Styela clava: one gene and its partner. The protein of the gene in region 1 interacts with the protein of each later gene in a pairwise test. Links are inferred from orthologs where the notes say so. Each region holds a gene or a part of one and is shown in the gene's direction. Other genes may lie near its edges.

Evidence for each region.
Region 2: the proteins of kinesin-like protein KIF23 (region 1) and rac GTPase-activating protein 1-like interact in a two-hybrid assay, tested with the Drosophila melanogaster proteins (3 studies listed by BioGRID). The link is inferred for Styela clava from reciprocal best matches to the Drosophila melanogaster genes pav and tum.

What each region holds. Positions count from the first base shown.
Region 1 is NC_135250.1:9,098,599-9,114,521, forward strand, and holds the start of kinesin-like protein KIF23, read left to right. Parts: upstream 1-7,766; 5' UTR 7,767-7,906; coding exon 7,907-7,917; intron 7,918-8,126; coding exon 8,127-8,193; intron 8,194-8,674; coding exon 8,675-8,776; intron 8,777-9,069; coding exon 9,070-9,175; intron 9,176-9,536; coding exon 9,537-9,673; intron 9,674-10,031; coding exon 10,032-10,150; intron 10,151-13,520; coding exon 13,521-13,685; intron 13,686-13,775; coding exon 13,776-13,888; intron 13,889-14,317; coding exon 14,318-14,439; intron 14,440-14,867; coding exon 14,868-15,004; intron 15,005-15,907; coding exon 15,908-15,923. Other genes in the region: uncharacterized protein LOC120346194, read left to right, coding at 1,070-1,213, 1,386-1,689, 2,529-2,674, 2,968-3,131, 3,500-3,773, 3,856-4,375.
Region 2 is NC_135259.1:2,654,914-2,670,682, reverse strand, and holds the start of rac GTPase-activating protein 1-like, read left to right. Parts: upstream 1-7,142; 5' UTR 7,143-7,224; coding exon 7,225-7,321; intron 7,322-7,442; coding exon 7,443-7,537; intron 7,538-7,997; coding exon 7,998-8,105; intron 8,106-8,690; coding exon 8,691-8,797; intron 8,798-8,907; coding exon 8,908-9,082; intron 9,083-9,346; coding exon 9,347-9,406; intron 9,407-9,779; coding exon 9,780-9,836; intron 9,837-10,520; coding exon 10,521-10,662; intron 10,663-11,062; coding exon 11,063-11,163; intron 11,164-11,453; coding exon 11,454-11,531; intron 11,532-11,615; coding exon 11,616-11,762; intron 11,763-12,576; coding exon 12,577-12,687; intron 12,688-13,210; coding exon 13,211-13,306; intron 13,307-13,736; coding exon 13,737-13,850; intron 13,851-14,078; coding exon 14,079-14,276; intron 14,277-14,599; coding exon 14,600-14,744; intron 14,745-15,748; coding exon 15,749-15,769.

The sequences.
Region 1 (15,923 bases):
GACTGCAGACCAGGTATGACTCAAACTGTGTTGAAACGGGCCGGACAAATATTTTTGTCAATGCAATACAATAAATTTCCAAAAGTAAGAAAATCCTTTCAATTTATTCAACAATACAAATTCTACATTTCTGAAGTCTTGAATATTAAATTCTATATCGCAGAATATAGATCAAGAACAACATGAGGTTACCTGTTAAGATAACAATTGCTGTCATGAATATTCGCATGTAAGCAGTACAAAAGTTAATGTGACTTGTACTATTAGCGTAAAATTCACGTTCGACGTTTATTTTAGCACGAGAAACGTACACAGCAACGGCACGCGCCACGAGTGTATCCTTCGCGGAAACGCTGCGTTCCGGTATAGAATTTTAGAAAAATAGTGATTGACTTACTTGATTCATACTTAAATTTCTAAATCACGATCAAAACTAACGAATAGCATTCAAAATCGCGAAAACGAGATATCATTTGAAACCACAACTGAAAATCCGGAGCGAATGCGAGAAGGTCTATTGTTAGGTCACGTTTTGCATCTTGCTGATTGGTCAATGTTACGAAATAAACAAGTAAGTCGATGCTCGGGAATACATCCCTTGGAAAAAATGCACCTTGTTTTCATGTTATTGCGGGCCAGATGAAAAGATGCCACGGGCCGCATCCGGCTCGCAAGCCGTAGTTTGGTGACCCCTGGATTAGATAGTCAAAACTTCTCATGTCTACAACACAATTATATATATATTCATTTGTAAACGGCATCGTGTCATGTAAATAATATTTTATGTCCCTTTTTATTCAAACAAGGGGTGTATATCTACATATATATCTTAATTTTGATTCCGTCGTCTTCAAGTACATTCTATAATCCACAAGATAAGCTGCTGGTTCTCACATATGGTCATTTTATATTCCACTATTTTAGCCACTAGTTTTCATTCATACACTGCAGAAGTTGTGTAGTATCTAAAAAAATTCCCCAAAATTTTTTTTCTCCAATGTTTGTGGTTTGAATTTTGAACATCCAACGCTAGCCCACCCTTTTGATTTAATGGAGTTGTTTTTGACAGCTGGGCTAGTAGTCCAATCAATCGTCATCGCCAAACGGATTTCTTCAATCTTCTGTTCTCCGTCAGACTAGGTTTGTTGAAAGCGGAATTCATTGAAGCTTTTGTGAGAAATCACGACCTCGTAATATCATCTGCACGATCGAGGTAACTTGTGTCAAGTTTTTTAAATGTTGTTTTACTAATTGTTTATCTATGAATGCTATGGTATATATATATAAGATTCTGCTTTGGAGCTCGAAATATTTGACATAATTTTTTAATCATATTATATAGTCAAGTATTAGTTTCTTGCCCTAAATTAGTATTTTTAACGCAGATCCCTCATAGAAAAGCAGATTCATTTATCGAGGATGAAGGAAAATCTTGGAGACAATAAAGCAGCTTTCACAAAATTTGCTACCGATGTTGGCACCAAGTTATTTAATGCAGACATATCATTTCCACCAACATCGCTAGAATGCGATATACTGCGCCTCACTTCGAGGCCTCGTTTTCCGCGAGAAGTTATTCTAGTCGTGGGCGGATGGAGCGGCAACGCTCCTACATCATCTAGCGAGGCATATGATCCTGTGACTAGAACATGGTGTGATACAAATATAGCGTTTCCGACGCTCTTGAAGGTAAGCGTCGGCGAAAATCTGTGGTTTATATTGTTAGACGCAATCTTTCTTTCTGATGTGATCCATATTTTCCATCCGACTAAGGTTCCGTAACAGCTGTCGCCTCGCAGTAGGACGCATACATACGCATGACTGGGTTTTTTATATATACATGACAATTAACGGCACAAAATACCTAATGTGTATAAAGAGTAACTAGAGTATATTTTCGATTGCAATATCTCAAATCGTTTGACGACCTTTAGTGTTAAGTAGACTACTTCTGATTGCGTGTTATTCGGGGAAATTGAGAAACCAGGCACGCCATTTTTGGGAATTGCTCCAGAAAAAATGCTTCCCAATCAGAGAGTATATTTTGTTATAATAAATACCAATGAACTACACCTTTTTGACCACGTTTATGTTTACTAATGTGCAAAATATATACCTAATACTGGCTGTTATGAAAGGTATTGCCAGAATCTTTTTCACTATACCTATTTTAGCACCACTGAAGTACATTTCACAGAAGGTAATAGTGAAAGAAACTAGAGCAGAATCTGCAAAACTCTGCTGTCATATATAATACTGGGTGACCGTACATTTGAACCCATGTACATTTGAACCCATGTCTATATCCGCGGGTTCAATCAATATGCAGGTGCTGAAACCCATGGGTTAGGGTTAGTATGGGTTCAACTATCCGTACAACAAAAAAATTTCAATAGGTGCAATAGTATGCAGGTGCAATTGTCATGGGTTCAAATGTACGTGGGTTCAAATGTAATGGAACCATAATACTGTACTGATTTAGTAAAAGCAATGTAATCAACTGAAAACTTAACTATTAAATTCTATAGAAACCCCGAGCATATCACGGCGTGTGTTATCTTGATGGAATGTTATATGTTGTTGGTGGATTTGATGGTCAGTTAACATACAATTCCTGTGATCGTTATAATCTCATATCAGGAAAATGGAAGAAAATGTGTGGAATGCATCACAGGTATACTTGCGCTCCATGAGCACGAAAACGTTGATACATATGAAGAGAGAAAGGATCAATATTTGTGACCGCGCCGTACTCGATAATATGAGCCCATAATATGGGTATTGGCGATTACTACTAAACACTGCATATACGAAAGTATACTGTACTGGGAAATACAGTGATATGAATAAAAAATTTACCTCAATTGTTTATTATTTATTAATACCCAAGCGTATGGTACATTTGGTGTAATTATGTGCAAATTCGGTATGTTTCAACTTATTAAAATCATAATGTCACACTTGTAGGAGATGCTACGTTGGAGTTGCTGAACTTGATAAATTGATTTACGCTGTTGGTGGATCCGAAGGTGGAGGGGAACATTTAAGATTAAAATCCGCGGAGAAATATGATCCGAATGTTAATGTCTGGACTCGTTTACCCGATATGACTGAAAGAAGGAGCGATGCAGGTAACATCTGATCAGAGAATGTAAATCACATTTTTAACAATATAAATATACTAAAGCATGTGTAGTCGGAACTTATCAGTCTGCATAAAGTGAACAAATCTGTTGAAATCAACGATGAGAGAGTAGCATGACGGACTATATCGTGCCAGCCAACCTTCAGTCGTTAATTATTATATATATATAGTTTGTATGAGCGCAAAAACAAGCACACGCATTGTATTGACATGCTAACACTATAGAATTAACTTTTGCTTGTGGTAATTTAATGTTAATAAAGTAATACTTTCATTACAATGCATTTCATTGAGTTTAAACTTTGGGAACGTTTGTATTGGGGCATTTGAAATATAATTCTCCGTTTGTTTCAGGTGTATGTGGGTTATCTGGAAAGATATACGTTGCTGGAGGTTTCACTGGACACCAATGCGTATTTTCTGTTGAATATTTCGACACAGAATCTCAACAGTGGTCACGCATTATTCCGATGCGAATTCCTCGTTCGGGGGTCACTGTTATAGCCTACAAGAATCGCGTTCTTGCTCTGGGTGGATTTGATGGAAATTCTTCCAGGTTGAATAGTGTTGAAGCTTACGATCCACAACTCAACTTATGGACGACATGGCCCGATATGTCAACTGGCAGGTACCATTATACTGATCAACAATTTTATATATTAACTCGGATTCGATCCACTAATTTTAAACTCACTTACGTACATTGGCAGGTCCAACTTTGGTGCGTGTGTGCTCGGAGGAAAACTTACTGTTATGGGTGGATTCAATGGAGTTTCCACTTGTTGCAACGTAGAATACTTTGACGATGAAGGCGACTCGGATGACGTAATTGCTGGAGGAAGTGACGCTGAAGTTCCTGGTCCGAGTAATCGATTGGCTCGGCACGGCAACGATAGCCCTTCGTATGAAGGTAATGGAAGCGGCGACAACGATGAAGATAATGCGGATGGTTTGAGGCATGTTTTAAGACTACAAAACCTGAGGCCCGAAAACTTGCCTGCCAATCGTGAAATTCCGACCGGAGTTTGGCGTCGTCTGCCGGATATGAAAATCAGTCGAAGTGCACTGAGTTGCTGTGTGGTTAAGAATCTCCCACCGCCTTTTCTACGGTCAGTGGTTGCTCCTCTTGAATCCTCGGGGCATCACCCAGTGGCAGGATCGACGCAACAATGGGATGCTTTGGATAGACTAATGGCTGTTTGCATTCAAAATACATTTCATAACAGTTGAAAGTGCCATTTACTACTGGTTGCTTTATTGCTAACGCTGTCATTTTTATGAATCTCGATTTCTTCTTTTTTCCTAACTTTTTTATTCATTCATGTTTTTGCGCCATTTCTTTGTTGTCCACTGTACTATGAATCGTCAGTTTATTTATTTAGACATATTATGAGTTTCCGTTGCTCGTATTTTTGTTTTATACGCAATTTCATTAAACAATAATGATATAATAATATAGAAGTATATTGAAAAAAAATGATGATTTCTGACTCAAATTTATCGATTTGATTATGCTTAATATGCGTTCCACATATATTCTTGTATTTGTCAAAATATGTACTTTTAATTAGAGCTGTTATGTTTAAAGTTAGATCTACGTAAACTATTTATTTTTTGTTTATTTTAATAGATCTTAGGTATTTACTCGGCATTTAATCCTATACATTTGTGATATGATTGTTTGTCATATTTATATGATATTTTTATACATATATACTTTGTACATATATAAAATATATATATATTCACATACCAACTGGTATCAGTCTCTTTATATTTATTATTGTCTTACAATGCGAATACACTACAAAGTTATAAATTCAATATACAGCAACCTGTCGGGTAAACAAAATTTATTTATTTCAATAACACAATTTGTACCAAAATATTAGGCGCGTACAAAATTGTTACAAACCACGCGAGATATTTTCAACATTCGTTTCAAACTTACGCTCGATGTTATACCTAGGCGACGGTCTTTAGCATTATATCACGATTCTACTGAGTAGATAACTGAGAACACATTTCAATAAAAATTTACAATGCTGTTTTGAGCCGCTACATGTGTTGTACGTAGCAGTCCGAGGTCATCACATATAGAGAAAAATTTACTTTCAACTAATATATAATTGTCGAACAATGGACCTCTCCCCGACCTTTGACCCCCGAAAAATTCTTCCTATACTTTACCATTGCAAAATTTTCGGGGTTATTTCAAGAGTGCTTTTGAGAGTTGGCGCCTGTGAAATGGGGTATGTGTTTCAAACCATCATTATGATTTATCGCATACAACAACCTGTTTTTTAAAGGTACCGTTAAAGAATTTTAGCCTAGTCTATCACAGCTATTTCTACACTAATTTTTATTACTGCAATTAAATTAAAACTCCTAGGAAGACAGGGTGACCATTGAATTATCTGATTTACATTTAAGTTTCCAAAACACAACTGAAAACTAACGAATAGAGTTCAAAAATGCGAAAACGAGGTAATGTTTACGACCACGCTTGAAAATCTGTCTGAGTGAGAAAACTGTCTGAGAGGATGCGAAAAGGAAGCATTGTTACGTCACTTTTTACAATTTGCTGATTGGCCAATGTCACGAAGTAAACAAAGAAGTCGATGCTCGGGGAAAGGTCCATGGGAATATATATACTTCGTAGAAAAGTTGAAAATTTAATATACAGCAACCAACCTACCAGTGAACAAATTAAAAATTTGTTTACTTGTCCGAGATCATTACATACAGAGAAATATTTACTTTCAGCTAATATGTTATTGTCTTATAAAGGTAATATATCTACTATAAATAAAATTTAAAAATTTAATATACAGTAACCAGGTGAACAAATCAACGTAATGTGTACTAAATAATTACGCGTTTTTATTCGCCAACCCTCTTGATATTTTAATCTTTTTCTATGACGAAATAATATAAATTTCGCTACAGCGAATTCGTTTTAAAGTCAATGAAGTGTTTCGGCGGGGATATCCGAAAAGCCTTATCTTCTGTGGGCGCAAGCATTTTGATTTGTAGACGTTTTACAGACTATTTGATCACGTTAGTCGCGAAGGGGCGAGTGCATGCTCCATAAAGCTAGAAATTCTTAAACATTTTTAGTATTTCGATTATTTTTACGAAAATATTGTTAGAGATTAGATAAAATGTGTAAAGTCTAGTATGCTAGTGCAGCAGTGTGGGCTTTCAGTGTACTGGTGTAGGATAGGATAGGATAGGATTTACATATTTATCCCGGGGGAGAGGAAAGCCGATAAGACGGCTTATCCATATGGCGAACCACGGCCTCTCGTCCGGTTACCATTCCAAGTCGGGTATGGGATTAGTTTTTTACTGTATTGTTTGTTTTCGGAAGCATGGACTTGGTGGTGGAGGAAGCCGTAACCGACCAGCGGTTACGTGAACCACCCAACGACGGCGAGGAGTCCAGCAATCCTCTCGCACATAACCACCCCTGCATGGGATTCGAACCTGCGAACCCACGCAAAGTAATTAGAGGTGCGGTGGCGAGCGTATTCCTAACGCTTAGCCCGTTGAGCCACACCGCCGCGCCCGGTGCAAACATTGTCTGATTGTAGAAACTTCAGATGCAACTGGCGAATGTTTAGGTCACTGATATGCAAATTTTTTTTTTTTCAGAAATGTGAAATGTGACACAATACACAATTAACATATTTTTTATATTATTGTTTTGCGTGGGCACTACTGCACTAGGCACACTTAACAGATCGAGAGACATTGTCTCATTTCTGCGTAAAAAATACAAAGAAACTCAATCTAAAAACGTCATCGAATTCATCAGGAAAAAATAATCCGATTTATCTAAGAAAAAGTTTTCTATCGTGACCAAAAACAGCAATTTTTGTCGCCTGACGGCCACAATTAATTTAGATTAATATCGAAACAAGCATGGCGTGATATGACGCATCTGCCGTAGTGCCAGGCGCCCCTCGTTTGTGAGACACATGGAGTGTTCGTGTTTTATTGAACCAAATCACGGGACATTCTCGCGATTTGTATAGTGTACCGTACTGTATTATTGTCACTTATGTAATCTTTTTGTATATGCAACGATACGAAGATCGATCAGGTTATAGTAGGCAATTTCCCCTATTCTCCACAGCTGGGTCATCATGTTACGATTTCACTCTCGTAATGAGATGACGTCAGATTTAATCTTTCTATTTTCTAGGTAGCCTATAACAGTATTAGTTGTCTTGATTTTAAAGCAAGTTCGCCTTTTCTCTGATTCAAAGCCAGAATGGAAAGTCGTTCTTTTTGAACACTAAATTTTCTTGCAGTCGTTTTGATTCTCATTCCATTCATAATTCTGTATGATTCACTTTATTTGTCGGTGAACTATGCCGTACTGCATTCTGAATTTTACCTAAAATCATATCTTTAGAACATTGAGTATAACTAATTTTGAATGTATTCGATTTCTTCCGGGCATTCTCGGTGTTGCATCGAAATATGTAATCAAGATCTGCAGGTCATTGAAAGAAATATAAATGAAAATTCATTTCCGTCATGTAAGCAATAATAAGGATAAGTAGAGAAAGTAGACTCAATATAATTCTTTATCTTTTTTATGCAACCCTATAGGACATAATTCAGTAATTACCTTTATTTACCAAAGATCAGAGTTGAAAAAAATACTGAATATTGAGTGACCGATATTTTTTTATTGAAAATCATTTTTCAACAGTTCCAGAGAGTGCTTGAAGCTGGTGTGAAGACGGTATGAGACCTCAGTAAGTGTCGAAATACATTTATAATTCATTTTATACAAATTAGCTTTCGAAGGGCTTCTTCAATTGATGACTGGACATTCGTATGCGTATCTTAACCATGTTTAAATTTTAAATTATTTGAATTAATAATTTTTTTTGTTACACAAATACCATAAATAAAAAATAAGTATAAATATTTATTATAAGAATATCATTGTATTTGATTTCAGACGAACACCAGCAAAAACTCCAAGGAGAGGAACTCCTAGATCAGGAGGTCAAATGGATCCAGTTGAGGTCGGTTTCGTTTGTTTTTGATGAAGACTTTTATAGGTGTTTGTTCTTGATATGTTTGATGGATATAGTTAGATATGGTTCCTGTTCTAGAATCCTGTTGTATTTGGCTTTCTAGCATTCTGAATGGCATCATCGCCTCATAAATTGTGATTGTGATACCAATAAAAAAGGATTTTTATTTCATTAAAAAATAGAGTTTCTCAAGTGAATCCATCTTCACCTTGCAAAATCATTTATGGTAGTTCCTAATATTGTTAGTATCGAAACGTCTGTAGCATTTGTTGGAAGTGCCCTCTTAATTTTTTGATTATGTAGTGCAAAATTTAGTTGCATCCTCTTTCTGGAATCGTGATTCTAAGCACTGACTTTCTTTTTTACCATAACGAGTTTGGCCCCCCAAAGAAACTAACATTCATTATGCCCAGTTCTGCCAATTTCTAATTTGATTTAATCTTTTTTAATTGCGGTCTTTTTAATTAAGGTCTGCTGCAGAGTTCGAACACTTCCCGCTGACGCAGAAGAAAGTTGTATTGAAATTAAAGATGATAAAGCTTTACGGATGTCAGCTACTGATGGAAGAGCTGTACGTAATACTCTCATAATTTAGAGTTTTTGTTCCGAGTATTATTCCCACACACTTTCTAGTAGATAACATTTGCTATTAATTATTTCGATCCGTGTCGGAGAACGTTTTATAGAAACTGTTAACTGAAATTTCGCCAGATAACTCAATTTTAGGTACTCCTGAAGTATGCGCACCAAGATGTCGCATAACCTGAACCCTAACCTGGTACACGACCTCTGAGTTCAGGCTGTGCGCCATCTTGGTGCGCATACTTCAGGAGGTCCCAATTTTATTTGTCTTATTCTCAACAGATTGAATGCCAATTTTCAAGGATTTTTGGTGAAAACATAGGGCAAGATGGAGTATTTAATGTTGTTGCCAAACCAATGGTTGATGGGATGCTAAAGGGGAAAAATGGTGAATATTTTATATCAATTAAAACATGTCTCTCTCCTATTACCTTCGAAAACTGATTATTTCATTAGAGCGTTGCAAGTTCAAATCTTTTTGGAGATGCATACAAGGCTTTTAAGTATAGCATATTTAGTGGCATTTTGACTTTGATCATCAAAGTCTGAGATTTTGACTTTGACTTCGATCAACAAAATTGATGACTATAACTTCACTCCCGCTGAATACGTGCCTCCTTGTTATGTGGTTCAAACAATCCGTAGTTCGTGTATGTGAAACTATTATATTAATGGCCACTAAATTTTTTCAAGTTCATGTATACACTATGCAGTAGAGATTTTTATGTGAATATTTATTTCCGTTTCAGGCCTTTTGTTCACATATGGAGTTACCAGCTCAGGAAAGACATACACTATGACAGGGACAGTCGATAACCCTGGCTTTTTACCAAGAAGCTTGGACATGCTCTTCAATTCATTGGAGGGAGTGCTTGCAACAAAATATGTAATTTGCATTCATTTTTATTTGAATTGCTTTCAAAACTGGATCAGAAAATTACAAAAATGATAATGTTTGTTTAGTCAAAATAAATAAATTCAATAAATAACTTTGCTTTGTAGAAAAAATATTTTATTTGATGTGTTGTCTATTATCTTACACAAATAAATAAAGATTATGCACTGTGAAGGGGCGAACAACTGAAATATAGGCTAAGTTTGTTGAATTTGAGAAATTTCAGATTTTGGGGAGAATTCGAAAAAGCTCTCTAGAGCTTGCCATTTGAAGCAATGAATATCTACCAATCATACTTAAAAATATACTTTGCAGCATTTTCATAAACTTGAAAACTTTATTTTTTCAGTCGTTCATCCCTGATAACATGAATGGTTTCTCCGTACAACCTGAAGCCGATGCAATGCTGGAAAAACAAGAAAGAGAAATTTTACCAAGGACAACAACACCCATGAAAACACCAAATAAGTAAGTCACAAAAAAAGTAACCCTGACTCAGTCATTTTTTTTTCTTCTTAAAATAGAAGTGTATAATCAAATTTATTCTGTGCAATTAAATTCTCAAATGTCACTAATTATAGTAATGATGATGACTTTTTTCAATGTTTATGTATATACATTGAAGATGCATGCTTCAGGGCAGGGGTCGGCAACCCCTGGCACGCGTGCCAATTGTGACACGCGAGAGGATTTCTCATGGCACGCCAAGTGATTTGATGCAGATCAGATATTTATTTTAGTTGTTCTACCAAAATTCTACATTTGAACAAAAATTAACAATTCGACAAATCCTTTGAAAAAACATGTAATGTTTAACTGCAACGACGGAAAGCCGAAATTGTTGCCACTTTTCGTTACTTTCGGAAAAGCGATGGATCAGAGGCCTGAATCTGTACGGGATTTCAGTGTAGATAAGCATATGCGGTGCAGCGGTGCCAGATTTGGCTACTTTCAGAAACGCTTCACTACCTGAAACTACTCGTTCACCCACTAGCAACTTTTTATACTATTGTTGGGTTACTTTTTGCCCTTTGATAATCGTGAAATATTGAATATTATTACATCAATTCATACCATTCCAGCAAAAAGTTGTACGAATCGCCGATTATTTTTGTCAGCGTGACGTGTTATTTTGACCGTAGACACTTTTAAGTCAGTGTTTATTCTCCCAGAATCACAAAAAGTATTTCACGTCAACGATAATAACTATTTTCTTTTTGTATTCGCCCAGATTTGTGAATTGGCTGAGAGTTATTACCGGTATACAATAATCGGCAGCGAGTTGCTAAAGTCCAAAAGGAGTGGAGCAGCGACACAAATTTTTTTATTGAAAAGTGGCAATATAAAATACTGAAAATAAAACAGTAAATAATTTGTTGTACGAGGCCCGTGACAGATTAAAAAAGCTTCTTTAAGCATTGTAAATTGCAAAATTTCGTGTGCCTATTGCACACATAAGTTTGAGCGGCATTGAGAATCATAAGGCCATTAGAATAGGAACAATTACTTTAAATTGCCGTTGGGAATTTTCGTGTTAATATTATACAATTCATATTATAAGTTTGGAAACGCGACTTTTTCCCCGAGTCGTGTTGAGATATAAGATAATTAATTAAAGTATATTCAATCAATTTTTATTGTACCAAAATAAATTTTACTCCGTGAGCTTTTATAGCAGATATTAGGATTTTTTTAACGGTTTCATCATCGAAAACAAAATCTGGGTGGCAGCATTGCGATAGAGCGGAGTCATTTTTGCAAGTACAGCTCAGATTTGTCAAATTCGCAAAATTGGAAAAATACGGATCAAAACTAGATATAACCGGGAAGTTTACCACACATTTTTATTTCCGCGGATTGATGTGGTATTTTAGGGTACTGATGCGTATGCGTTTATATTGTCGACGCAACTGCAGGTTAAATTGAAGACAAGTAAATTATAATATAGCAAGACATTTTAAATATGGCCGTATCGGTCATGGATTGATTACTTTGCACAACAGAAAAATCATTATATATTATCCGTCGAAAAAGACGTGGGGATTTCGAGGCGATAAATATGTATTTTTGATTTACTGATATACTTTATATGTATTTAATTGTACTCTACGAGATTTTACAGATCTTGAGATTTTTCTAGCGGCGATAACGAATTCGCAAGATCACAAAAAAGTATCGAAACTAAATACACTCAGGCATGTTTATCTCATATTTTATACGTCAACAGATTGAGCGGTATTTTAGACTAGTAATGTTTATATTTTGACGCAAGAAGACGCATCCGCGAGTTACGTTGGACCCAATTATATCAAGATAGAAGGGAATTTTATAGATTCTCGTAGCTGTCATGAATTGATTATTTTACGCGACTAATAAGTCGGTATACGCTAAAAAAGTCGGTTATTTTTACGAGCGTGTAATCACGGCGACTGTTTCAGAAGGGAAAGGAAATTTCCCTTGGAAATAGGAAATATGCAAACCACATAAAAATGTTTGGCATGCGCAGGTGCTCATTATTCATAAAATGGCACGCAGAGTTCAAAAGGTTGCCGACCCCTGCTTTAGGGCAACGGTGCACAACCTGCGGCCGTCGTGAATAAATAATGCGGCCGTCCACAATACTCCACATACAAAATCCTATTGACCAAAAAAAAGTCCAAAATATAGGATTTGGCGGCTATGTTGGCGTATATTGGAGCAAAACAGAGGTACTGCAAAAAAGGATGGTATATTTGCTGTTGGGGATTTTCCTTCACGGTTCAGATTGACCACGCGTTTGCCAGCATAGCAACGTAGCAAGCTAGCCTAGCAAGGCATCCGCAGCTTGAAGTACCGGGTACCTGGAGAATTAGTACCGAACCAGATTGTTAGACGCCAATCTGGAGTCTGAACAAAGGCTGATGGTATCCAGCCAGTTACCTGACTTTGCAAGTTTATCTGCCCACATGCAAGACCAAGGGAGACCAAGATTGAATTGCTACAATGCTTTGCAAACTTTATAGAATAAATTCATTAAAATATTTGACATTTTATTATACTTTTGGGGACAAGAAAATGGGGGTCTCCCCCCTCCCGGACTTTGGTGGATTTTTTTCAAAATTGTGCAACCATTATGCAACTTGCTGCAATATATCTGCTCAAGAATAGGTCCACCGAAAAGAAAAATCCGTTTAAAATGCGATTATTATACTTCCAAGTAGTCCTACATAATTCATAATTGGGCAAACTGCACATCACATGTGTCAAATACGCGGTCATGATGTCATAAAAGCCAAAAAAAATTTGCACGCTTTGGACACGCTCATCAGTTCTCTGGAGGCCGTATTGAATAGAAATAAATGCAATGTGGCCGCCAATAGCAAAAAGGTTGTGCACCCCTGCTTTAGGGTTATGGATTATTCACAAAGTTTATATTTTATTTTTGAATATTTTAATTCATATTGGTGAAGTTAGCAGAAAGTTTGTGGCATATGCCAATTTTATACTTCATGAAATATAACATTGATTACTCTTGTCCCTTCAAAAAAGGTTTCAGTCACCCAATCCAGCTGGCTGTGAGCTGCCACTCGTATACAGTCAGTGCACCTTCCAGGCAAAATGGCAGGAACTACTTAACTCTCTCATCACTATTATTCTTTATAGTCTTAGTAGCGCTTGGTATTTTATTGGTCAACCTAACGTCACTTTTATATTTTTTTATTGTAACAAAACAATACCTTAAAATTACGCAGAGGTCAATCTCTTATGAGTGAGTGCGCGTGACCTTGTCTTTTTAAACCAAACTTTTCATGAATTTCATTCAAGCCTAATTCTTTAAAATCTTTTTTTTCTGTTTTAGGAGCAGAAATCGTCCAGACCTTCGATACGAGATAGATTATTGCAGATCAGAACATGTGAATTCAGACATGAGATATGCTGTTTTCATTTCCTATGTTGAAATATATAATGATTATGTTTATGATTTATTGGAAGATATACAATATGATCCGTTCAGTAGACCAAAGTAAGTGATTACCTTTTGATCATTTTTTGTATACGATTTGGATTCTTTTTATATTTGATTAGTACAAATTATTGCTCAATATTTACTTAGACCTCCGCAATCCAAAAGACTCCGAGAAGACAAAAAACACAATATGTTTGTTTATGGAGTAACAGAAGTTGAAATAACAACAACAGAAGAAGCTTTCAGTGTTTTTAAAAGAGGTAAATCTATATTACTGTTATTTAACACTCATTTTCTGTGATGTACTTGTTGCGTGTAGTTTTATTTTTCGTTCAAAATATGCTACGTTACTCTAAGATGCGTTGGGGTATGAATTAGGACAGGGTTTTTATAATGGGTGCTTGGGCACCCAAGCGACCACGGAGGTTTCGCCATGTAGGCTACTTCTCAATAATTAATTTCAATCAAATTAACTGTGAATTGTTTAATTCAAATTTGCCCATTATCAATAAACATAGAAAAAAGAATAACTGATATGAACTTATCAAAAACTAAACTAGGTAAACAGGGGCCCACAGAGTATTCAGAGTCTTTTTATGGGAGCCATGGGTCATAAAAGTTCGAGAACCACTGAATTAGCAATCTAAACAAAAATTACTTTTATTTTACTTTTTGCAATCTTTGTGCAGGTCAAGAAAGGCGACGAATTGCACACACGCAACTTAATGCTGAGTCAAGTCGTTCTCACAGTATTTTTAACATAAGACTTGTCCAAGCACCTTTAGACCCTCTCGGAGAAGATCTGTTACAGGTACTTGCATATCTTAGCTTTAGATACTGTAAATTGTATCATATCACCATTTCACTAAGAATAATGGAAGTTTCAGAATATTTTTGGTAACTTAGCCAAATAGCCAGTCGATAATCTGAATATTTTGCTACTTGTCATTCGCCCGATGTCAGGGACGTTTTAGGCTAAAAGTACTTTTTCCATGTAATTGTAGTTTATTACCTTAAATCTTTAAATGCAAAGCTTCTCAGTTCAATTATAGCTCTAAATTATGCAGTAGGCTACTAAGATAACAAGCCATTTTGCTGTTTCTTCCCTTTTGGTTCACTTTACCCCATAATGGGGTGGTGGATGAACTAGCCAGGCCCCGAATCCGAGATCTCTGATATTAATTTGCTGCCTTATTCTGTTGAACCAACAATAATTCTTTATTGAATACAAATCTTCAGGACAAAAGTTTGATATGCGTCAGCCAATTATCATTGGTCGATCTAGCAGGAAGTGAACGACTTGCTCGTACTGGTGCTGGAGGAGAGAGATTAAGAGAGGCTGGAAATATTAATAGTTCTCTGATGACTTTGAGAAGGTAATTAATCAATTTTGTGTTTTATAATATTCTGCATTTTTTATCTTTATGTAATGGAAATAAAGATGTGCTTATCTGAGTAGTTTGGTAATATAGAATATAATCTCGGAATGATCAAATGTTGAAATTTTATTTATTGAAATCCTCTAGCCATAATTATGCGGGCCTTGTATTCGATTGGCATAGGGCAGGGGTTCCCCAACCGTGGCCCGCGGGCCAAATGCGGCCCGTGTAACGATTTAAAATGGCTCACCGAGCTCAGGTAAAATAGTGTTTAACAGATTTTGTTTGCGTTATGAAAACTAGACTTAGTAAACAGACATTTTTTGGCAACGGCGGTAAATCCACTGAATCCCAGCTAAACAGTCGCGCACTTTTGGCCGCTAGACTCTCCGACCCGTGAACATCCTTCCGATTCTAATTTTGGCCCACAGCCAATAAAGTATGAGAACCCCTGGCATAGAGAATGAGGTTCCCAAACCTTCCCAACACTGGACACATTTATTTTCTGTAATACAAATCACAAGCATTAAAAAAATCCACTTTATTTGCTTTAAATAATGACACGAGAAGTAAAATATGCAATGTGATGTGTAAGCTTGTTTTTAGCGACCATATCAGGACTGAATGTTCTTGTAGTCTTATAGCTTTATAGTACTTTTGTCTTGTTGTTCAGTTTTAAACAGCCCTGATTTTTTTTGTCAAGTTTCAAACTTGGGCAGATAAGGTGTATTTTTTAGGAATAAGTGAGTCAATATTTGGAAACACGATCAAAATTATCTTCTAATCATACTAAGTTTTGAACATGGGCAGACGAGAATTATTTTTAAGAAATAGATTGCTATTTTGCAACATAATTAAAATTATCTTCCAATTATATCTTCAATATTCTTGTAAATTCAGATGTCTTGAGCAGCTT
Region 2 (15,769 bases), on another chromosome or scaffold:
AAATTTGAATCAATATAATATTCAGTTGAATACAATTTTGCCGTCAAATACATTCTCTGTTGTAAACATATTAATAAATTTTGGACAAGCACCATTTGGGAATCCTCTATAGTCTATAGCATATCAACAGATATGGGATGAGGAAAGTTATTAATTTTCCACTCTCCCTCTGTCTAGTTTGTTACCACAAACTAACACAGTGTTAACAGAAATGCAACACCAAGTGATGCCAAATCTTACTTTGGGCAGAGAAGATTCTAAACACATTGAATGCATGACTCCAAATCAGTATAACTCTCCAATTTGGCACCAACAACGAAAATTTACGACTCCCTTGCATCAAATCTTACTCCTTCAAAATTCCCAAACTGTAGCGATAAAAAAAGAGGTATCCAAATGGAACCAGAAAAATTATATGAGGAAATAAAAATATGCCAGTGTTCCCCACGTGAGTTAGTAATATCTCAACCTGTCCCTGGTTGGGATGTTCACCAGATCGCAAAGTTTACAACCCATCTTGTGATGGCAAACTATGCTATGGCTTATTAGAATCAAATGCCCGCTGTCTGACACTTTTGACAAGGTTTCTCGTCTTTTCAAAAATGATAAAGGGGAATGGACATTGAAAATGAATCACGATTATTATTTTCTAAAATGAGGTGTTTAGGAATCACAGGACTCAAGTGGTTTGATATCATTATTTCTCTACCTTCAGGTGCATGTTTTATTTATTTTATATATTTTAATGATGCATATTTTCTGGACATACAAATGCGTCTAGAATGCTTTTTTTTATTATCATTTCATAAACACGGTTGCATCAAACATGTCATCTTGAGGACAACAATTTTTTTTTTTTTGTAACTTCTGAAGCTTAATTTTATATGAAGAGAAGAAATTTAATATGCCTGTTGTAAATGTTTTATTGCCCAATCATTTATGTATTTTATTGCTTTTGAATGTATTTACAGTTGCTTTGGGCTTTCAATTGTGTATTTGCCATAGTGCAATTAGTGGAAACAGACGTGACAAGGGGTATAACAGGCTATTCTGAATTTTCCCTCTTCTTTTAACTGTTGATCTGATAATGTTGTAACACCCACACCATTTACTCATACAAACAAATCTAAGATTTTTCTTGAAAAGACATAAAATATGTTCTGAATGTATTTGATAAACTAAACTGCTTGAACTTAAAATAATTTGTAACAATGAACAAACTAAAACTCAAAAACAAAACTGAATACCTACTTTTAAAACAAAGGGCCGCTGAATTTAGTTAATAGGCAAGCAACAGTACATATTTGCTTAACTGTTTCTAGCATATTCAGTGGTATTCTGCATCCAGATAACTGATATTCTTCAACTCTTCTGATAGCTCTTTCTACTGGTATGTGAAGCAATCTTGCTGGATTGCAATGCCTCATCACATGTAAACCTACTGTTAAAATGAAATGAAGGAATATTATGATCTACAATTTTCGCTTAGGGGAAAGTGGGGAAGGTTGGGACACTTTTTTTCTTTTGCATATTTTGAGCCGTTAATTCAGCATATTCACTTAAGTTGGCGGGACTAATGCATAGAGGGGTAAATGTAGTTTTTATTCAGCGACTAAGAAATTTCCTTGCGACACACATTTTATTACCAAAATGCTTTGAAAATCGTCTGTCAAGTGTTCCACTGTACCCCACTTGTGGGGCACATTCGAACAGACTCTGGGGCACAATGGGTCAGTCTGCCAAAATTCAACGAAGTATGCCCTTAAAAATAAGCACTTAATCAGCATAATCGTCTAAAGCAGTGGTTCCCAAACTTTTTTGACCATCGCCCCCCTAAAGTAGTTTATACAACTTCATCGCCCCCCTCCACTACAAAAAAAAATGTAAAGCCAGAACGCATATATTACAGACCAAATAAGAAGACAACTCATAGTTTATAGTCTTTTTTAATGAGATGGATGAGCTTGGTGTTCGTCAGCGAGTTTATTATTATATCTAAAATTACCCCGTTTACTGATGGAAAGGCGATTTCGTTGTTTTGGTAGCAATAGTAGCACGGCAGAAAATCCCTTTTCATCATATAAGAGGTCGGAAATGAAACAATCCAGGGTTTTATCTTCTCAAAAACCGCCGTGTACTCTTGCCCTATAGCATTTAACTCCTTAAATACACCCCATTTCACATTAAAATAATGAAAACAAAGTTACTCTTTCTAAACTTATATTAATTATTTTCGTACATCTCGTTCATCCCTATAGCCTGATGACCTGCACTAAAATACATGATATATAACGGCCTTTGGTAAAATTCATCCCCGATTCCTCATCCTATCACGTCATCCAGTCCATAGAATTAATCAGCCGATTGTTTGGGATTCGTGCACTCGGATGTGGAAGAAGTCGTGACCAACTAACGGATACGGCCCAGGGGTCGGCAAATTTTATGTCGCTCGCGGGACAAAATTTAGGGTTGCTAGTCTTTTACGGGTCGCATATATTTTTTTAAAAAGTTAAAAACGGAACAGCGTGCGAAAACTGCGACAATTCGTGATCTCAACTCAGTCGTCCTATTGAAAAATTATTACGATGACATTTATTGTGACATTGTCTTGTTGCTGTATTACGCTTGATAGCCTTACGACGACAAGATTGGAACATTTTCTAAATGAACATCACTAATCCTAGTTCTTTGTAATGTTCATTTTCGAAAATAATTGTTCGCACAAATATGTACTTTCAAACATCGAAGTGAATATTTTCGCATGGTTTGTGAAATTTTGATGAAGATTTTTTTAAAGAAGATACATTCTTACAAAAATTAAGCGGTGAACGAATCTCTTGAATAGGCTATGAATTTAATTTCCTCATTGCATTGCAATATATTCGAAAAATTTACTGCGCTATTGAACCCCTGCACTCAACATCAACTTTTCTGCGTGTTTCCATTTGTCTAATTATAATTAAATTGTAGGCTCGTTAAATGAGTAGCTGTAGAATTTTTAGGATATAATGAAATTCAGTCTAAACGTGTCTCACGATAAATTCTGTTACGTAAAAAATGTAATTTACTCCTCGAGCGTAGATTATAAATAAAATTAATTCTTAGTCAAAACCGCCGCTTGGGTGTTTCCCCGGGCATATACTTCCTTGTTTACTTCGTGACATTGGCTAATCAGCAAGATGCAAAAATAAACGTAACAATGCTCCCTTTTACATCCACTCAGACACATTTCTCACTCAGACAGATTTTCAGGCGTGGTCGTGAAAATCACCTCATTTTCGCGTTTTTGAATTATATTCGTTAGTTTTAGTTGTTTTTTCGGAAATTCAAATATAAATCGAATAAGTCAATGATCACTTTGTCTTCCTAGAAGTTCCAGTTTAATTACAGTAATCAAAAATTAGTACAGAAATAGCTGTGATAAAATTCTTCACCGGTACTTTTAAAAAACAAATTGTTGAATGGTATGAATTAGAATGATAGTTTGAAACAAATACCCCATTTTACAGGCAACAAGTCGCGAAACCACTCAAAATAAGCACTGAAAATTTTAAAATGGTAAAGTATAGGAAGCATTTTCCGGGGTCAAAGGTCGGGGAAAGGTCCATTCAGTGAAGCATCCCGGGTCAGGTTATTTTACTCCGGCCGTATTTTGCCGACCACTGGGATACGCAAACTGCCGTACCTTACTGCGAAGACGAGTCCAGCAATCCTTTCGCTTGTGATAATCACCCACGTGATTCAAACTTATGAAAGCACGCAGAGTACAGTAACCAAGTGTACGATGCGCCGAACAAAAACGGGTTTCGCGAAATCGCCCCCCTGTCGCCCCCTTCGACTTTTTCGCCCCCCTCTGTATCGTTTTCGCCCACCGGGGGGCGATATCGCCCACTTTGGGAATCACTGGTCTAAAGAACAGAGAGACTTCGAATTTGAAGATTTAATATTTTTTAAATCAATGTTCAACTGGAATAGTTCAGATATTTGGATAAAAAATTTTGCAAATAAAACTGATTATTTCCTTCCGGGAATCTAAATGTGGAAATATTATTGATTCTCGAATATATTCCATATTGGGCCATGGGTCGAAAGAAACCATAATACTACACAAAATATAACGCATTTCTAGGTCTCTAAGCACTTATTGTATCAAACACTGTCGAATTGTGCCCTGTAGGGCATGTCCCACTGAACCCAGGTCCATTGTTCCCCATAGGAAACAAATATTTTCAGACCATCCCACGGCGAAATTCGGAAGGCACATCCACTCGCCAACGTTATGAATATTTTACAGTGGACTAAAGCTGAAAAATATCAGACGGTGGTTTGTCATGTTGGGAAGGCTACAGTAGAAAAAAGAAAAAACTGAAACGGTGAAATTTTAGTTTCAACCTCCCAAAACCAATTTCACCTCATAGCTTGCGCCGCTCTACCCGTCCGTTGTCCGTTCGCGGGGACGTTGTAACTCACCGGAGGGCGGATTGAAACATCGAACCGCGGACAGGATTTCTTGCATGACGGAAATAAATATCTGAATCTGAATCTGAATATAGTAACAGTGCGAGAGCTGATTTTGCACCGTGCCCCATGTCCCAACGTGCCCCACCTTGCCCTACAGCAGATTCCCGATGGCAAATCCATTGCGAACATTACAGAATCCCCTCTTTCCAGTAAAATCAAAATTCCAGATCTCCGGGTTTTTTCACCGTCTGATATGCCCTGTCTGATTGATTGTTGCAAGCACGGTATGCTGATTGGTCGAGAAGCGGCGGGACATCTACAATTTTTACTTACAGCAGATTCCCGATGGCAAATCCTTTGTCGAACATTACAGAATTCCCTCTTTCCAGCAAATTTAAAATTACAGATCTCCGGGTTGGCGCGGTGGTGTGGCTCAACGGGCTTAGCGTTAGGAATACGCTCGCCACCGCACCTCTAATTACTCTGCGTGGGTTCGCAGGTTCGAATCCCATGCAGGGATGGTTATGTGCGAGAGGATTGCTGGACTCCTCGCCGTCGTTGGGTGGTTCACGTAACCGCTGGTCGGTTACGCCTTCCTCCACCACCAAGTTCATGCTTCCGAAAACAAGCAATATAACTAATCCCATACCCGACTTGGAATGGTAACCGGACGAGAGGCGGCGGTTCGCCATATGGATAAGCCGTCTTATCGGCTTTCCTCTTCCCCGGGATAAATATGTAAATCCTATCCTATTTCCGGGGCTCCCGAAGTATGCGAACCAAGATGGCGGACATCGGAATGTAATATGTGTATAGGTTAGGGTTAGGCCATAATTTTAGGTATAAATACTACGGGAGGCTCTTGGCTAGTCTTCGAACTGATAATAGGACTAAAATGAGGAAAATTGGAAAGAAATTATCGCCTAACCCTAACCTGTTACCCATGTTAAGTTCCGATGTCCGCCATCTTGGTTCGCATACTTCGGGAGCACCCCTATTTCACTGTCAGATATGCCCTCCATTGATTGTTGCAGGCGCCGTCATGTGGATGATCTACGATATGCTGATTGGTCGAGAAGCGGCGGGACATTTGTTGTTTGAAGCCGGGATACAGATACACACCGGTACGCGTAGCTTCTCACCGTTCAATACTGCTGTGCTGCCACTCGGTAGTTAGGTATCGTCATTACGTAGATGATCTAGTTAGGCTATAATTTATTGGTCGGAATTATTGTATAGGAATAAGTAGATAGAAGTTTGCGGTCTCGCGAAGCAAACGCCGTAATTGCTTAAATAACCCTGAACACGAATGTCAGAATGTGGTGTGATAGATCTCTAGATAGATACCGGTACCGGTAACGTAAATCAGTACAGCAGTAAATGCTGAAATGACATGGAATGTCTGTACGGTATAAGAGATGGAATTGATAAAGCTTAATTATTGAATCTTTTGTATAAAGTTCCCTCCACTAACAGACTAATGAAAAATGGGACCTCCCGAAGTATGCGCACCAAGATGGCACACAACCTGAACTCAGGTTGTGTTCCAGGTTAGGGTTCAGGTTATGCGACATCTTGGTGCGCATACTTCAGGAGTACCGAAAAGTGTGTTGGTTTATTTTGAAAGCTCCACAATCTGACAATACCTGAATAGCCTACTGCAATACAAACAAATTCTGAAATTAAAAATGGAGAATTCTGGAGAGGGAGCAAATCCTTTAAAAAAGATTAAAACAAGATGAGTAGGCCTATCATGTGTGAAAATGAATGATGTAAGTGCTTATATAACTGTATAACGCCATACAAAAATGTGATGTGAAATATGAAATTTCGAAGTGTTTGGCAACGTCATAATGCAGTAATGAAATTTTAGGTTGTTGAATATTTTTACTGTACCATATTCATTCCTGCACACTACAGCACTATCCAAATTCTTAGAATTGTCATTTCTGCATTTGGTTCAATAAAACAAATACTCCATGTGTCTCACAAACGGGCGTCCTCGTCTCGATAATAATCAAAATTAATCGTGGCCGTCACATGATCAAAATAGCCGTTTTTTGCTAAAAACTCTCGAATGTCACAGTAGAAATTTTTTTTCTATGGTAAATCGGATTATTTTTTCTCAAGGAATTCAATGATGACGTTTTTAGATTGTGCTTTGTAGTTTTTTCCGCAACTTCATTTTGCTGTATTTTTACCGATATTGAGGGATAACAAGGTCCAGCCGTTCCCCAAAGGTTTATCGGCAAAATGGGATTCTCTGAAACGAGACAATGTCCCTCTATCTGTAAAGTGTGCCGTACTGATATTTGGCTATTTTATAGACTAGCATACATCATGCTGTCCTAGGCATCTGTGCATGACATCATTTTTCGTAGTCTAAAGTTCTCATTGCCGTAGATAATTATTCCTACTGTCCTAAAGCAGTAGCAGGCACAGTTTTCCGATTGCGAGATGTCCTGACATTTGGTTCAATAAAACGGTTCGGTTCAAGGACAAACACTCTATTTATCTCTGAAGTGAGGGCGTCTGGTACGACAGCAGATGACTCATAACACGCCATGCTTATATAATAAATTATATCCATCGAGGCGTGAGTTGGCCATATTGTTTTCTGCAACATACAGCCATGAGTATCGAAAAAGAAGAATTAAATGCAATATAATTGGCCCTAATTTGTTGCTTTATTTTTTCAGATTTACCTAAATCTGTAAATATTTCAAATACTGTGAGTAGACAACATCTGATAACTGCTCAGATATGTCCATTGAAACATTCTCTAAGCTACCACTTGTTACACAACTGGACCAAGTGTTAAGAGGATATAGGATCTTGGCAACCAGTGGATGTGAACCTGGTATAATTTTTATTAATATTGTATCTGTATTTAATGTGACTCAAATATTTTTATTTCATAAGAAGTTTAAGGTCTAAATGGCCAGGTCAATAACAAAATTATAAAAGCTCTTACTTTTTAGAATTCTTACAATTTGCAAGTCAGTTTGAATCTGTTCGAAAAATAGGATATCAGGCTGAACAACTGGCGCAAGACCTTCAGGAAAAGCTGACAAAAGTAATATTACATTATATATGAAAATGGTCAAGCTTATTTCAATTCTTTGACTACCGTAAATAAAGTTCGACTGGTTAATTAATACTATATGTCTGCATTATTATGGAACTCTATTTTTTAATATCATTATATCTACACAAACTTTCTATAGCTGTTGTCTAGTTTTCAACCTCCGTTCCTAATGATAATGCCTTTCACAAAAAAGCATACCTCAGTACCTGGAGTTTGTTCTTGAGTAAGTTGTTATTAGATCATTCCAATCTGTAAAAATAAAATGGTTTACATCAAAAAGTTTGAAATACTATCTCGTTACTGGTCTTTACTCGTAAATATTATTCTTACTGCTAATATTTGCAAGAATTTTTGAATAAACTTTAGTTTAGACTGTCATATTCATACGTTATGCCCAAACCTGATCCTCATTTATGCCTCATTTGTTAATCAATTTTGAAATCTACAGACTGAAGCTGAGAGAAATGCTTTAATGATAAAACTGAAACATGCAAGAAGACAGATCGAGGTTGAGTTGAAGCAACGACAAAAAGCTGAACAGGACAGAGATGAATTGGTAATAATTCAGAATACAAAAGTATTTAGAATAAAATAAATCACATTGAAGAATATCTCCAAAAGCCAGGCACAATATCTTTTAATTAAAATAGTAAAAATCGAATCATGTTGGTTGAAATAATATGTAGATTTCCCATTTAACTTTTGCTTATTAAATAACATTTGCTTGATATGATTTTCATTTTCTGAGTAATGATAAAATACTTAACAGGTATGGAAGCTTTGAATGGTGTTACTGCATTTTTTTTTTTTAAATTCAGCTATCCAACCAAGTAATTGTACTCTTCCAGCGTTCATCTTAACAAAATCCATTGTTATGTCCCAAAAAGTTCGCTCAACAATAGCTGATTTAATAAGATGTTCATAGGTATGAAAGATGAACATTTACATACCTCACTTATTCATGTCTTTTGCTTTGAACAAGTTCCTATACATGTAAAGTGTTGCTATTTTTGAGAGGACCTAAATATTTTGGATTAAAGTGGGGACATTGGATTTGATCCTGATATGTGTAATCTGTGACGCCAAGAACTAAGGTATTCGAAATTCACACTCTGTATTGAAATTAACTTTGTACTTTCAGGATCAACAAATCATGCTGGTGCGAGACTTATTATTCAGTGATGATACTGGGACAACTGTTCCCCTCAATGAAGAACAACGTGGAAAGCTGGATTTTCTCAACTCCAGGTTACTTGATGTTGTGTTGATGATCATTTAGAACTATCTTATAATGGTGTAATGTGAATTTCTTTAAACTTATGTGCATATTTATTAATGTGTCGTAATGATCTTTTCAGTCGATTCGCGTCACCTCGTGGTGGTCGTACTATGCACAGAAGACTTCAGCGTATCGATGAGACTGGATCCATTCTTTCTGATTATTCCGATATTTCTTTCGACCTAACAGAAGACGATCTTGATGCGACTACTTTGCGCAATGGGAAGCAATACAGACGAGCTAAGATGGGAAGGGTAAGCGTCAAAAATATTGTATAAATGTATATTACTACGAGTATGAATCATTGGTATTTTAGCGTCTCGGTATTTTAAATTTTTTTCAATTGATTCTATGACTGCTTGTTTAGACTGCTTTTAAAATCTTCGCTAATGGGCGTTTAATAAAGAATATTTTATTTCAATAGTAGAATGTGTCATGCCAATGTTGAGTATGAAAGACTCAGGCTCGCTCAATTTAAAATTCTGGTCTGAAGATTTTTTCTGCAATATATTCTTTAGAAAGCAGCATACAATGATGAAGACCAATTCTCAACATCGAAGAGACAAAGATATGATGTGGTACGTATTCCACTATTTTTGCCTACTTCATGCTTGTTTTCTTATAATACTTACAACTCGAATATAAATTCCTAACACAAGTAACTGTTTGTAATTCATTTTGCATGGCATTTTATATCCGGATATCCCTTTTTTTATGATGTTTAGAATAGATAGAGATTTACTTGGTGGTAGATTTCCACTACTTCTTGAGAGTTTTAGATTTCTTCTACTCACATAGAGAGAGGATTGTGTGACCACAACTCATTATAAAATATCAAATCATTGAAATATTAGCTACTCTATGATTAAAAATGTAATATTTTCTGAATACTTCCAAATCAATATTAATTACAACTATCATATGCATGATCTAAGACTATTTTGTCCATAGCATAGTCCTGGACATAACAACAGTTATCAAGCAGCGGTGGGAGGCAATTACTATTTGGTATGTGGTTTGACCTTATTTTTGAGTTCATTTCTCTTACAATCGCATGCTTTTAAATCATTCTATCAGTCAGTATTTTCAATCTCAATTCTCAACTCAAAATAAGTTGCACTTTGGTATATAATGGGCACGAATTTGTACATACTGTTAAATGCATGCATAGCTGTGTGATGAAATTTGGGCCTTAATACATTTGATGTTTTTCAAATCTTAGCTCATAATCCATTTACCGTAATCATACAGGGTGGGGCAACTCCCACTTTTTTATTGAATTTAAAATGTGGGAGTTTTTTTTTACCTCAACCTGCCTTTTGGTTGATAACTAGACTTATTATGTGACAAAATTGTGGTATGCAAATAGGAATTCGGGACGAATTTTGTGTGTGTAATAAAAAATATATAATATTTTTCAAAATGAAACAAGTAGGTGTTGAATAAATCTATGATGTTATCATGTTGGTTTATTCAGACTAACCCAATTTTGTTGAAATTAATTGCATAAATATACAAGTTCAAACTTTCTGTTAATATTTAAAGTTACCATTTTGAAAATATAGCAAGATTTCAGTACAATATAGATCGAAATAAATTAGCACACCCAACTCTGAAGATATCTACTATGATCCAAAGTCTGTAAATTCCAGTTATAACATTGAAATTTAACATCCACTTTATTTAACACAGAAAACGAATGAACAATTTCGTTGCACTGTGGATGGACCAACTACAGTCAGTGTTGAAAGGTTGGAGAAGAGTTTTACGAGACCTGCTCCACATCAAGGTAGAAGACGTCAATCTAGGGAACATCGAAGAAGAAGTGCTGGATGTAAGATAGCTTTGCTCTTCACTAATTGTTAACAATATAATTATTCGTAAATTTATTGCCCTGCAAAAACTCTTGGATTTTTATTTTCCAAGAGAATTCATGTTTTTCATGAAAGTTCATGTAAAACTAATATAGCTAGACTTCACCTGTATGTTCGAATATCCTGTATGTCAGAATCGACTACCTGTCTAGTTTGTGTTGTATGCTACAATTAGGTATATTGTTGTGATAAAATGTTGGTAGAATGTTATCAATTGAGTTCTTCAGATGGTTGGTGGTTTGAAATATTGTTCAAAATATATAATTTTGGAAATAACCTATTTAATTCAAATTAAAATAATATGATTTAAACGAAAAAGATGTTACTTCTGTCATATACATAACTTTTCTCTGTTTTCAGTATCTTCCGAATCAGAAGCTCCACAGAGCGATGTGGATAAATTCTGGCCAACAGCACCTGAACCCAGCGCAAAGCCCAAGTCAATACTAAGAAGCATACAGGTAGGAGGACATGGCCTTGTACATTCCAAACAGGCTCTATTATAAGAAACAGAATTCATGGATTATTTTGCAAAAAGTTACGTTCTTTCTAGACATGTTCCAAATAGCCTGGATTCTGTTTTTTGGGATGGTCGTACTGCAAAGGATTGGGCATTGTATTTCATGGTTGGTAATTACACAGGCAGTCAGCTACTTTTCACTCATTACCAAGTCTATAATTTTGAATCGTATTTACGAGAAAATACAGACATTGCTGGAAATGAGCAATTATAATTTTAGCCTTTTTTTAGACAACACCAACTAAATCTGCAAGATCTCACAACATGCAATCTAAACCCTGTGTTATTGTGAAGGAAACTTGTAAACCAGTGAGTTGATTGAAAATTGTTACTTTTTTTTTTGGAAAAAAATTGAATTGGTACCTCTTCTTATCAATAGTACTTTTATTTTAGTGTGGAAAACGCATTCAGTTTGGAAAAAGAGCAATGAAATGTGCTGAATGTCGCTTGGTTACGCATCCTGAATGTGAAATCATGGCTCATGAATTCCAGTGTGATCCATCACAGTATTCACCTTCGGGCGGAAATTCAAACGATAAAGTATGTTGGAGCAGTCGTTCTCAACCTTTATTCTCTTGTGGCCCATTTTAGTGTCAAAAAACTGTTGGGCCCATGGAAGGTTTATTAAAAAATTTTTTGTTCAATAATATAAAAAATTAACTTCAACACTTGGACTAAATTTTGGCCATTACATTTCTTGGGACTTATTGTAGGCCCATTTTGAAAATTCTCAGGCCCCGGACCACCATGAGAATCACTGTGTTAGAGTTTTATTACTAATCGATTTTAATCGGTAAGTATGTTGATAGGTATTTGTCTGTCTGTATGTCTGTTAGATGCACGCGATATCTCACGAAAGCGAGATTGAATCTACGCCAGATTTTGCATGTGCATTCATCTTATCTTGGACCAGAATCCTATTGATTTTGGACGAATTATGTCGTATAATTAGCGAGTTATTAATTAATTAGTGATGGGACACAAGGTGTCACTATGGAGTAAGAGCGCTGTTTTGGGGATCCCCTAACTTTCGATCGATAAGTCTTCGGTCTTGAGTGCCTTGACTGATATTCTCGTTTATACTATTGGTAAAATTTCTTATTCTTTCTATTCTGTTATTGTTACTGAACAACTTAATTAAGTAATTTTGATTGCAGGAAGTTAATTTGCGACTTTATAAAAAAAATGGCATTCATATCAATCATATGTATATATATTATATATATATAGATAATAAATAAACTAGATAAAATATTTTTGGTATATATAAAAAAATTCTTCTATATTCATTGGTAATTACTAAATTTTTTGTAGTTTTTATCTCAATCATTATTATTTCATCTTTCTTATCCAGCCATTTCAAGGTGCGGAAGGATTGGAGGCATTTCTGCATTCGGATGAAAGTCCACAAATTCCACCTATTATTTACCACACAATTCATGAGATTGATCGGCGTGGGATGCAGGTAATAATGCTTAGACCATGGGCAGAAAGATATACACTCACTATGAATAAGAATTGGTATAAAGTAGCAAATAACGTGGAGGTCTCACATGCAGGATTAGCATATCATTTTCAACTATCAGGATATTGTGATTGTGATGTATATATAGGTGAATGTTTTACTTTGCAGGAAGTTTTTCAATTACCTATACTTCAGCTATATCAAGGCCTCAATGCAATATGTTAAAATTGTGATTGGACTTTGACTGCTTTTAGAGAAACTTTTTATTGGAAATATTTTTCATTGTATTGATTCAAAATGATTCAAGTATCAACATCAATCAGCATTTGTTGGTGTATAATAAACTGCCCCAATTCTACTTAAGGGCATAATTTTGGTTGGTTGTATCAACTTGTATGTAAATTGACTCAGACAATATTCTCCTTTTCTACTGAGTGAATGCGCATGACTTGTTTCGATCGAATTTTCATGGAAAATTTTCACTGGTATAATATTTTGACTTTTTTTTTTATAACTATTGTAGGAGGTTGGACTTTATCGAGTGCCAGGTATGGTTCGTGCAGTACGTGAGCTGAAGGAAAAATTCTTGAAGGGAAAGACGGTGCCTGATTTATCGAAGGTATATGTTGTTAAATTGCCTTTAACTTTTTGGAATCTCCTGCCTAGCTCTGTTTCTTAAGTGTTTACTTTTGCTCAAGCCCTTAAATTTTTTTTTATTTCTTTTGCCCGGTTCTGTGAATTTACAGGAAGCTATCAATTATATTGAATATTATTTAAATTATTTAAAATCATGATCACAAAGCTCAAATATGAAATACAAATACCCCAAACTACTAGTGAATCTCTTCAAGGCTCTGCTGTCAAGAACACTTGTTACTAAACCCTTTGGGGAAGATGTTCAATTTGGAGAATATTATGTACTTGAACTTTCATTATATAAGCAAAATAGCATCGATTTCTACCCAGCTTGCATATTTAACCATTTGTTATCATATGTTAAACACAATAATTGATTCAAGACAACTTATATATATTTCCTTCTTATAAAGGTTCAAGATGTTCATACACTCTGCTCATTGGTAAAAGATTTTCTGAGGGAAACTTTAAGGGAATCAATTTTGACTTTCAACTTGCATCCTAGATTTATTTCAGCTGCTGACAAGGTAAGTTTTGTAATATTTATCAGCGATGCTCAATGCTATATTTGTGTTTTTGTATTATTAATATTTGTGAATTCTTTAGATTGAATTTTGGAACGAATCAATTTTATTCAGTTATTGACCTTGGGTCATACTTTTTTGTGTTCACATATTCTTTGCTTTCTATAAGTTGCCAAACAAATTTATAATGTCATTGTTTTGTCATAAAAATGTTGCTTACATAATTTTCAGGACAATGATGCTGATCTTTTCCAAGCAATTAGTGAACTTCCACAAGCTAACAGGGACACTCTGGCGTTCATCCTTCTACATTTGCAACGGATTGTTGAAACCCCAGAAATAAGAATGAGTCCGGAAGCTCTGTCAAAAGCAATGGGGCCTTCCTTAATCGGATTTTCGTCAGATGAACCATCAGTCCATGAACTTCAGGTAACCTGGATATTTTAAGCAAATTAAATTACATAGGCAATAAATAATCGAAGAATTTCTTCTGAGATGAACACTCTAAGGGGAAAATTCATTTGATTCGTTTACTAAGTCGTTAAGCACTTTACATGTCGTCACTGATAAATATTTTTAATATATCTCAAATTTAATAGTGTGTTCTTACGAGTATGCTTATTTGGAATAAGGGCATACAACTGACAAATGGTGGTGAAAAAGGAAGGATTCAATGGTACAAGTGTTTTAATATCTGCCTTATACCATCATGTAATATATACATACGAAAATTTTGTTCATTTTTTGTCAAGACTTCATCTGGTTATCAAGAAAAAATATTGACTAGACTTTTAAACCTGTCAAGTGACTACTACACTAACATAATGCATAGTGGAAATCGTGCTGCTGATTCGAATGCTCTTCGAGATGTCAATGCCACTCCAGAACCTTGCAGAGGTAGGCTTAAACTAGAAAGTTATTTGTTCATGACACTAAGAATTTGAATTTACGAAACAGTGTTCCCCAATTTTTGTAGATTTTTCATTCTCTCCATAACAGTCTTCGGGTTTAGAGTTATACATGTGGCAAATCATAAAGTACAGAAACAGTCAATTTATTCTATTTAAATGCCATATCGACAGGTAGAAGATGACTAGTGAAATTGTTTATAGAAGCAATGTTGATTTTTTCAGCATTGAATAACATTGTATCAAATAATACTTGGAATGTTGTGTTTGCAGCTTGCTAACCTGTTAACTGATAGTATCATATCATTGTCTGAACCATGAACTACATTTTGGAATTGCACATATAAGATAATTTTCACTGTCCGTCGAAAATAAATTTTTTAAAGTAAATTAATGATAAATTAGTATATTTCAAAATGTTGTATATATGAGGCTGATTTCAATTCTAAGTTGTTTCATTTATTAAATTAATTGAGTAGTGTATTCCTGTATCACAATAGCCTGTCCTTCCTAAACTATAATAATTGATGCTTGGTTACTACTATTGTTACATCAAATATTCGATTGGATAGATAGTTTATAGCTGAGATGTAGGTATTTTTAAACAAAGGTCAGGTCAGGTGTAATTCAGTTTTAATATTTGTTACATTGGGCTATCCACCAGTGCGGAAGTATTGAAAAAGGATAAGTAGTTGTTCTCTCAGAAATCTCGATTGGAATACTCTATCATAAATTTAAGAATATATTTTTTTTTCAAAATGTTTATTTGAGACAATGGTACCAAAATAATGTTTGACATAACTTGAATTGAATTTGTATAAAAAGCAACATTGAGACAGACAGGTTACCAATCTTGATCGGATATAGGAATTCTGCTGTTTAGATCTGAATCTGCAAAAATTACAGATTTCAGAATTTGAAGGTTGATTTGAGCAATATGAGCATGTTTAATAAAACTGAAGTTGGGGTTTGAAAAAGTAATTATTTTAACAGATGACCCCGTTAGGAGGTCAA